2 linked regions of the Oryzias latipes genome follow. The main gene of each other region encodes a partner of the protein of the gene in region 2 in a complex. Links are inferred from orthologs where the notes say so. Each region holds a gene or a part of one and is shown on either strand. Other genes may lie near its edges. The genes, in order: protein tyrosine phosphatase type IVA 3 and cnnm3.

Region 1 (4,247 bases), on a different chromosome or scaffold from region 2:
CGCCTTCTTTATAAATTCTATTTGATTGAAATCTTTTTAATATTTTTATTCTATTCTGACAGGGATTTTTTTTCCAAGATTGCCTTTTATTTTGTAAATTTTTCTTCCATTAAGAAGTTTAGAGAGACTGTTCTTTCTGGTTTGGGGCCTTACAAATGTACATTCTAAAAGTAAGCTCTGACCTTTCAAGAGTACCACGAGCAAGTGGAATAGCAGATCTTGTGACTGTCTTTCCTCACCTTTAGTTCCAGCTGTCGCAGTTGACTGCTGTATCTTCAGAATTGTCTTCCGGGTGAGCCTGGCGTAGGATTTTGATAATAAAATTATGTAATTTCCCAGAGTTGTAGCCCTTTTATTCGGCTCGTTCTCCCATCCGTTGACTGTATCCTGTGATCTAGAACACTACTGTGCATCAGCTGAATTTTAAGCTCTGCAATTGTCAGTGTTTTTTATTTACTTTCTTAAATTCTCCCAGTCACACTCTTTCCTCTTCTTTCCAGTACGTTGTCTGTGATAAGGCTCCACTTGTTAACCCATGAGCAGTCAGTTTTAGATGGTAAGGCTCAGTGGTCTTCCAGGGCTCATGACCCCAGGACTGTATGGCGCTGCATCATTCCAGACAGGGTCTAAATGTGTTGAGCATGGCAATAGTCACCACTCTGCCGCACAAACTCCATCAACCAGCGGTTCTGCAACACAAAACACACATGAACAAATTAATAGTGATTTAGAAGTGCGATATTTTAAACAAGGCCTCTACTTCAGTGGCAGAAATAGCTGAAAAAACACAAACATAGTGACCTCCAGCATTTTAAACAAGGTTATGTTGATTTAAAAAATATTTCAATTGTTTTCCTCAGAGGAATGTTGTCAGCCTATATTTACAAGTAAATAAATGTGTGACTCGCACATAAAATGTTCAAATGACAAGACTTGCAAAATGAAGAAGCTGTTCAGACATTATTGACATGATTAATCTGTATGTTCCAGGACCATGACTTATTTTATCCAATATTTCCAATTAATGCTTGAATACATAAAAACAAGCGAATAGGTGATCAACTGTAAAAAAGGAATAGGTATACAAATAACACATTTGGTTAATCCTAGGGCAAAGTAAAACATCTAATCTCAAAAACCCTTTTGTGTTTACTTAATATGTATTGAAGAACCCAAAAAAATACAACACAGAATTGTATTTGCATGTTATTAAAACATTTTTTGTAGATGTTTTGGACATGTTGTCATGCAACTTTTTAAATGATCAAGATGAAAGAATTTCATCCCCATAAACATCAATATTGGGCTTTTAACCCTAAATTTATCTAGTTTAGGGACACAGGATTGAGATTTATGACTCTTTGAGATTAGGACACCAAGGATTTATGATCTCAGTCAAAGATTTCACCCTCTACTCACTAATGTGTTCAAATCCTCAGAAAATCAAGCAGTAAAAAGCCAGGAGATAATCTGTGGTCACCCCTGACACACAGACTCACTCCTTCTCCTTTCAAGAGGACTGTGGTCTGAACCGGCTTGTTGACAATCTATAATTAGCTAAATGTGCTGCCAGTAATCAAGACAGAAGTAACAAGTTTGGTCATTTCCTACTTCTTTTAAAAAAAAAACTGAGCAAGTAACTTTGAAGCAACAAATTTCACCGATCTGTGAAAATCAAAAGAACAAATAATTCTGTTTTTCTGTCAAATTATGTTTATGGAAGACACTTGAATCAGACAAAGTCTGCATAGAAAGAAAAGATGTTCAGATGTCCTTCCAAACTTTGAATCTGAGTAAAATAAGTTGGCCACATCCAGGCCTGGTCAGCACACAATGACATAAAAGCATTGATCTAAGTGCATGTTTTCAAATGGTCTTACGAAATCTATAATATTTTCAAACTAAAGGGTGAATGACAACAAACTCTACCGATCAAAAGTTCTGATTGGATAAATTGCACACCAGCCAAAACCTATACTGACATCAAGCTCAAAGAAGATGTTTAATATTAAAAATCTAATTAAATCAAGTTTCTCTCTTACCCCTCGGCTGTTGAAAAGGGAAATCAAAAACACCGACAAGCAGTTACACCAAAGTCCTGCAGAAGCAGCAGCCCCACAACAGTGTAAGTGCTGATATGCAACCAGCTGACTGCCTGTTATAGTAAACCGCCATAGACACTAAATCCCTACCGGTATTTATAGCTCCATCCATACTAGCAGCTGATTCTGTGACACATCAGTTTTTTTTTTTTTTGTTTGTTTTTTTGAGGGAACAACTGTCTCCAGTGCAAGCACACTCCTATCTTCCTGTCGTCTGCCTGCTCCAGACAAGTCCAGTGATTAGAGTAACAGCAATCTCTTGCAGTTCTTTAAATGTTTACCGCAGGTATTTATCCATCAAATTATTTTTTTTAAATTGCAGAATCTGATAGGCATACTAATATGGGGGAACGGGAACCAGTTACTAAACAAACAAAAGTGCTTCTCCTTACCACTTAGCTCTTTGGTGTCCTCTCCAAACTCAAAATTAAGTTCAGCTCTGCCACATTAAAACTAAATCTAATTTTAGAGTTCTCCTCTGTAAAGCAGCGAAAATAGCAGTCTAAAAAACAGAATGTGGAGCCTTTTGGAGGCAGCTTTCTCCATTAGAATATTAAACTATTCACCTTTCCCAGTCACTTCAGTCCAGTTTGGTGGTCACTAATGTGGCATGTGCCTGTATCCAGGTCCTCTCTGCTGCAGCAGAGCCGAGTGGCGAGCTGAGGATTGACTGAGCTGGTTTAATCAGGCTGAGCAGCCATCTGACCCTGACAAGCCCCGTCACCATCAGAACACCCCAGAGTTAATGCTCTTAGAAAGAGAGGCGGGTAGCCGCGACGCTCCCTCCCTTCTCATATCTTTTCCAGTAATGCTTTTCTTTTCTGCCTTAAAGAAAGAAGTCTTACACTTCCCCCTTTTTTTAATTACTTCTCACTCCCAAATAAACTAATGATACCACATTATAAGCCTACATGCAGCACATCCGCCGCATAAAACAAAAATCTAACAAAGAACGATGCTTTTGTATCCCACAGGTGTCAAACATCACTCAAAAAATTGTTACTTTGACTGGACTTTCTGTCATGTCTCGTCAAGTTTCCTGTTGTCTCGTGTGGGGTTTCCTGTTTTGTTTTGAAAGTCTAACCTACCTCTCGTTCCAGACCTTCCCCTTCCTGCTGTGTCTGCTCCCCACACCTGTGTCTGCCTCATCATCCCTGATCATTCCCACCTGTGCCTCCCCTCCTCATGTATTTATAGCCTGTGTTTCCCTTTGTCCTGTGCCTGTTTGTCATGTGCTTTCACCTGCCAAAGCTAGCTCTTCTCTTGATTCAAGAAATTAAATCCTTAAGCTCTGCATCTGAGTCCAGTCCTGTGTTCTGCCTTGTCACTTTCTCTTGTTTGTTTCACCTTGCTTTGGTCCTTCCCCTTCCTAAATCTAAAAATAGATGCTTCTTTGAGTTACCAGACAGATTGTACGAGTGAAATCACTGAGCCTCGGTTAATGGACTTAACCTTCTCTCCAAGACACAATAGTCCAAAGCTTGTTTGTTTGTTTACCATCTAAAGTTACTGAAATGTTACGACTGTGCCTCAGTCATCGTGTTTTTCAGTGAAGTCTTGGGTATGTGGAGAGAATCACACAGTGTTCACTGCAAGCACAGGTATTTTAAAAGCAGATCTAGCTGGGGCCTCAGGTCACTATCAATCACTTTGAGTGGAGGTTAACATGACTCTCAAGGCTTGAAAACCATCTCTTACTGGCTAAAATTAGCTGAAGCTGTGCTGAAGGTGTTTCCAGTTTGTCATATTACTGTCTAAGTGAAGAACACTAAACACACACACACACACATATTATGGAGGGAAGTGTCTCGATGCTGTGTGATGGTGCCCTCTTGCCCCACTTTTCACTTTTCTGTTGACAGTCAGCTTTGTAGCTCTGATAACATATAAATATATTATAATCCCAAGATGTGTTTAGCACCAACAACACAGAACAACAGAACTAAGATTGAAAGATTGAAAATTAGGGGTGTAACTTTTAATCAGTTAATACTCCAGTCAAGGCGGCGTTCCAGAACGATGTGCGCCAAAACCACTTGCCACAAAGTCAGCTTCTTCCTCCGAGCCGTCACTCTGATGAGATCTTGACCACTCACAAAGTATGGAACAGTAACACAAGAACTGTCGCACCGGAACTACTGTTGT
Region 2 (4,536 bases):
CTGGTATTTTAGTTGGAACTGAGAGACGTTATGAGCAGAATCTGAACAAGGAAGTGAAGACTTTAACCACTTCTGATTGGTCAGACTGATGACGTGTGATTAAGCCTCCAAGAATGATTGGTGGAGACAGTTAAAGGGGCGGGACTTTTCAGAAAACAGCTGACGCTACGGCTAAATCGCAGTACCATCATTCTTATCAAAATGTCTTCAATAGAATCAAATAAGCACAGAGAAAAAAGTATTTTATGATCTTTCGTATTCCTAACTACTCAGTGTTTTATCAGGGTTTTTTGGATGAACACAGAGCTGATATCCTGGAGATGGGAAATGTTTTTAGATCAGCGAATGGGTCATTTCCCATGACACACTAGTGTGCCGCGGCACACCGGTTGAAAAACACTGCTCTAGAGTGTTCCCAGTTTCCTGATCGGATCTGGAGCGCCAAGCATGAAACCGATGGCGTGGAGCACACCTTCAGGCGAGATGCACCCCCAAAGAGGTTCACAGGAATGCCAAAAGATCTCACAATCCTGAAGATGTGAAAAGTCATCAGCAGAGAACTTCTCTGAGGACATCGGTTCCGTTCTGAAGGATCTGGGTTCCATCAGAACCGAAGACACCGTCTGAAGTGGATCCAGATTCTGCTGAAGATCCCAGAGGAGCTGGAATTAAATGTACAGCTCTGTCTTTTCTCTGAAACAGTTCCAGATTTTCCTGCTGCTTCTAGAATGTACTCAACTAAAATGAAGGCGGAGCATCGGTTATTAAGCTCCTCCTCTGTGGAAGCCACTTCTGTCTTCAGGACTAGACCTAAACTATCTTTAAGGCTGCATTCAAACTAGAAACTTTCCCGTTTCGAACCAAAGCTTGTAAAGAAAACCACATGACTAAAGATCTCTTCAGTCATTGGTCAGGAATTTTGAAGGCGGGGCAAAGCAACTACAGACAGAAATGATGGCCGTCCTGTTCTTTGCAGTCTTGTCAGGACAGTTCACCGATTCAAACTTTACAACTTGAACGTCTGTATCAAGGTCAGGTTGAACCCTTTTTGCTGTGGTACGATGGAGGCGTGCTGCACGGTGGTTACTATGGAGACGTCGGGAATGAAGGTTCACTGATTCATGTTCATGACATATAGAAAAACAGCGAGAAGTAATGTGGATCACGTTAAAAGATGTTCTAATCCAAACCGCATTTCAATGAGTTGCTGTGTCTCATCGTCATGGTTACTACGTTCTTATGATGTTTTTTTGGCCTCCAACTCCAGTGCCGATAACGGTTCTGGTTTTGCTGGAGGGTCACCCCTCCTCACGGTCGCCCAGAGCGTCCTGATCAGCGGCCGGGTGACCTGGTCTCAGAATTCGGACCTCAAATGGGATCCGGTTTACCTGTAGGGGTCGTTGACGCTGGTACGGACCATCTCCAAGACCCGCTCGCTGATGCAGTTGGTGCTGATGTCCCTCTGCAGGCCCAGGTCCAGGATCAGCCCCAGGGGGCAGGACAGAGGGCAGGTGAGCACCATGCACACCTGGGCCAGCCAGGTCAGGCCGGGCGCCAGCTGGAAACCGTACCCCGAGCAGAGGATGTGAGGGGCCAGCTCGGCCAGGAGGAAGATGAGGAAGCCCCCGGTGAAGGCGGCGGAGGCGATGCAGCCCAGAGCCCGGTACAGCAGCACCCCCACAACCGAGTGTCCCAGCACGCACAGGAACAGCAGCGAGCACGCCTGCGCAGAAGAGGCGGGTTGAGCGAAGGCCAACAGACCAGCATCTTCCTCACCAACCCCCACACACACTCACCAGGAAGTTCCCCCTCCTCCGGACCGGCTCCAGCCGCTTGGCGGCCCGCTTCTCCTCCTCGGAGCCGCAGCTGTGCAGCACGTACAACTCCACAGGGTCGAGCCCCAGCAGGCTGAGGTGCAGCGTCCTCAGCAGCGCGCAGAGCAGAAGCAGCAGCGCGACGAGCAGCGCCAGACCCCACGGCGGTATGGAACCCGCGGCCGCGCCGGGGATCACCCGCAGTCTGTCCGGGGTCACGGACGCCCACGTCTCCCCGCTGCGCGCGCACAGGTGGTAGAAGGTGTCCCCGCCCGCGGGGATACTCCGGTTCGCCGTGACCGTCAGGACCCCGCTGTGGACCTCGTCCTGGCTGAACTCCTCCGTCACCCTGAAGGCGGACTCCAGCCGGCTGCTGTCGGAACCGCACGGGTCCTCGGCGGTTCCGAACCCCGCCGCGAACGCGACCAACGTCCCGTTTCCATTCAGGTTGGCCCCGAAGAGGCGAAGCTGGAACGAAGCTCCTTCAGGCACCGAGATGATCCGGTCTTTGATGCTCACCGCTCCCGTGGGGTCTTCCACCCGCAGCCCCAGAATGTGGGGGTCCTCGCCGCCGCAGGTGCCGCGCCTGACCCCGCAGAACCACAGCATCAACAGAAACCGTTGAGCCAGGCTGGCCACCATATTGGAATGGGTCAACACGGCCCTGTGCGAATCACGTGACTTCAACTTCAAAGCGGCCCGCCCATCTCAGCAGTGAAACTGAGCGGCGCAGCGGCCATGTTGGCTCCGGTAGCTGTGCTTCGGTGGGGGAACGGCGTCCATTTTGGATCTGGATTCGCAATGTTTTTGTTTTGGAAAGCCCTCCCCCCCGCCCACCCTGTGACGTAGCAGAAGCTCCCATCCATCTGTGTTCGACAAAAACAAGCCTCCGCTGCGGACGCCTCCTCCAGCCAATCAGAGCGCGAAGAAGCCGGACAGGGAAGGGGCGGGAAGTGTGGGCGGGAGAAGAGCCCTCGCGCTTGCTGAGACTCAGCGCTTGCTAAACCGTGAAGAACATTTTTGACACGTCCGAACACGCGGGCCTCTGCTCTCTGTCTACGCAAAGAAGCTCAGCCAAAGTCACCTCACTCTCTGCCTCAGCTTTCTCTACAAGTTATAACCAAAAATGTATCAGAAAGTGTTTTTTCCTCCACTATTCCACGCTTTCTAGTCGAGATTCAAATGTAACTTTATTTATAGGGGCCTTTCAAGTTGTACATCAACTTAAAGTGCTTTACTTAATAATTAATCAACAATCCACCACACATCCACATTAATAAACAAAAACGATAAAAGCAGTCCATGAAATTGATTGAAGTCCCACTCTGGTCAATTTCTGATCTATTGTAAAATGTTCCCAGTGGTCATTTAATTGTGATTATGCTGTATATAGCAAACAAATCTGTGGTTTTCTAGGACATAGTTTCTGCAGAGCGGCAGGAGTTCATTAGAAATTCACTTCTGAGTTGTGGGCGGGGCTGTTGGCAAGAAGGAACCCTGCCTCCTTCCCCTCCCTGTACCTGAGAGCTCTCGGATTACACACTCCTATAACCCATCCTACCAGCAACCCAACAGCTGTGCAACCAAAATGCAGAGCAATATTGGAGCCAGTTTTGATCCAGATGCCAGCAAGAAAAGCCGAGACCCACATAGAATTATTTGTCTGCATCAGAATGGGGCGGAGCAGGGAACTTGTGGCCCCACCCAGCGTATTTTCTATGTCACAGATAGTATCTGTATCTCTATACTATACTATCTACCTACATTTTTCCGCCTGCTCCTGATTTACAATGATTTGAAGAAAGAAATACAGTTTTGAGCTAAATTTTCTTTATCCATGCCCTCCATCATCGGAAAAGAACACGATTAAAACGCCATAAACACAATTTCATCAGAATGGGTCTTTAAAAATCTAAAACAAACTTAAATGGCGTAACTTATATGCCGCATTGCCATCTCCTCAAGGCCCAAGGAGCCTTAAAGTCACATTCCCATTCACCCATTGATAGCAGCTCCGCTGTCGAACAATGGTGCCAACCTACGACCACCAGCAGGAACGTATGGTTTAGTGTCTTCCCCAGGGACACTGATGATGGGCGGTCAGGGTGGGACCTGAACCTGCGATCAGAGGTAGACCGCTCTACATCTGCACCCAGTAGCGGTTTTAAGTATGGGCAATTGCCCGGAGCGCAAATTTAACCCTTGTGCTATCCTAGATAATGCCATTATTTATTAACTATTGGAGACATTTTATTACGTGTCTTTATTTTCCATATAAAATGTATTTTTTACGTCTGCCTGTGGTTTAGTTGGTGTCAGTATTTAATATAAAGACAGAACGTAATGCAGACAGCAAAAAAGCTGCACTTTTTGAGATGATAAAGAAACAACGGATCAGTTGTTTATTATTAGCTTTGAGGTGTTTTGGAGGATTTTTACTGTTGGTGTTGCACAGAATTAGGAAAATATCAAATATTTTTGAAGTAATCCCACTGATGAGTTCTATGATTTAGTTTGTAGTGTTTTATAAGACTTAAAAATGATATTCCCAATTACAGGTTTTTAGAAAAAATCAAATTCCTCTGATCCTTTTCATAAAGACACACAGGACGTCACATCACCCACCAAGCAGAAATGAACTCATTGCTAAAAATGATGCCAGGAGTCCAGCTCTAAAAAAAATGGACAAAAGAGCAAAGAAAACGGAATAAATGGATTTGTT

The links.
Region 1: the proteins of cnnm3 (region 2) and protein tyrosine phosphatase type IVA 3 are in contact, whole or in part, in a crystal structure (PDB 5TSR), measured with the Homo sapiens proteins. The link is inferred for Oryzias latipes from reciprocal best matches to the Homo sapiens genes CNNM3 and PTP4A3. Residues at the interface, in NP_060093.3 of Homo sapiens: Ser357, Asn358, Phe394, Asp396, Lys418, Val419, Asn421, Glu424, Gly425, Asp426, Pro427, Phe428, Tyr429; in NP_001425170.1 of Homo sapiens: Asn5, Pro7, Asp72, Gly73, Ala74, Val105, Ala106, Leu108, Gly109, Arg110, Arg137, Arg138, Gly139, Ala140, Ile141, Asn142, Lys144, Gln145.

Annotation. Positions count from the first base shown.
Region 1 is NC_019874.2:10,484,228-10,488,474, reverse strand, and holds the start of protein tyrosine phosphatase type IVA 3, read right to left. Parts: upstream 2,818-4,247; 5' UTR 2,669-2,817; intron 2,587-2,668; exon of another isoform or gene 2,495-2,586; intron 2,172-2,494; exon of another isoform or gene 2,043-2,171; intron 690-2,042; 5' UTR 240-689; intron 1-239. UniProt on the Homo sapiens protein: Protein tyrosine phosphatase which stimulates progression from G1 into S phase during mitosis. Enhances cell proliferation, cell motility and invasive activity, and promotes cancer metastasis.
Region 2 is NC_019870.2:1,781,922-1,786,457, reverse strand, and holds the start of cnnm3 (metal transporter CNNM3), read right to left. Parts: upstream 2,807-4,536; 5' UTR 2,457-2,806; coding exon 1,797-2,456; intron 1,724-1,796; coding exon 1,389-1,723; intron 1-1,388. UniProt on the Homo sapiens protein: Probable metal transporter.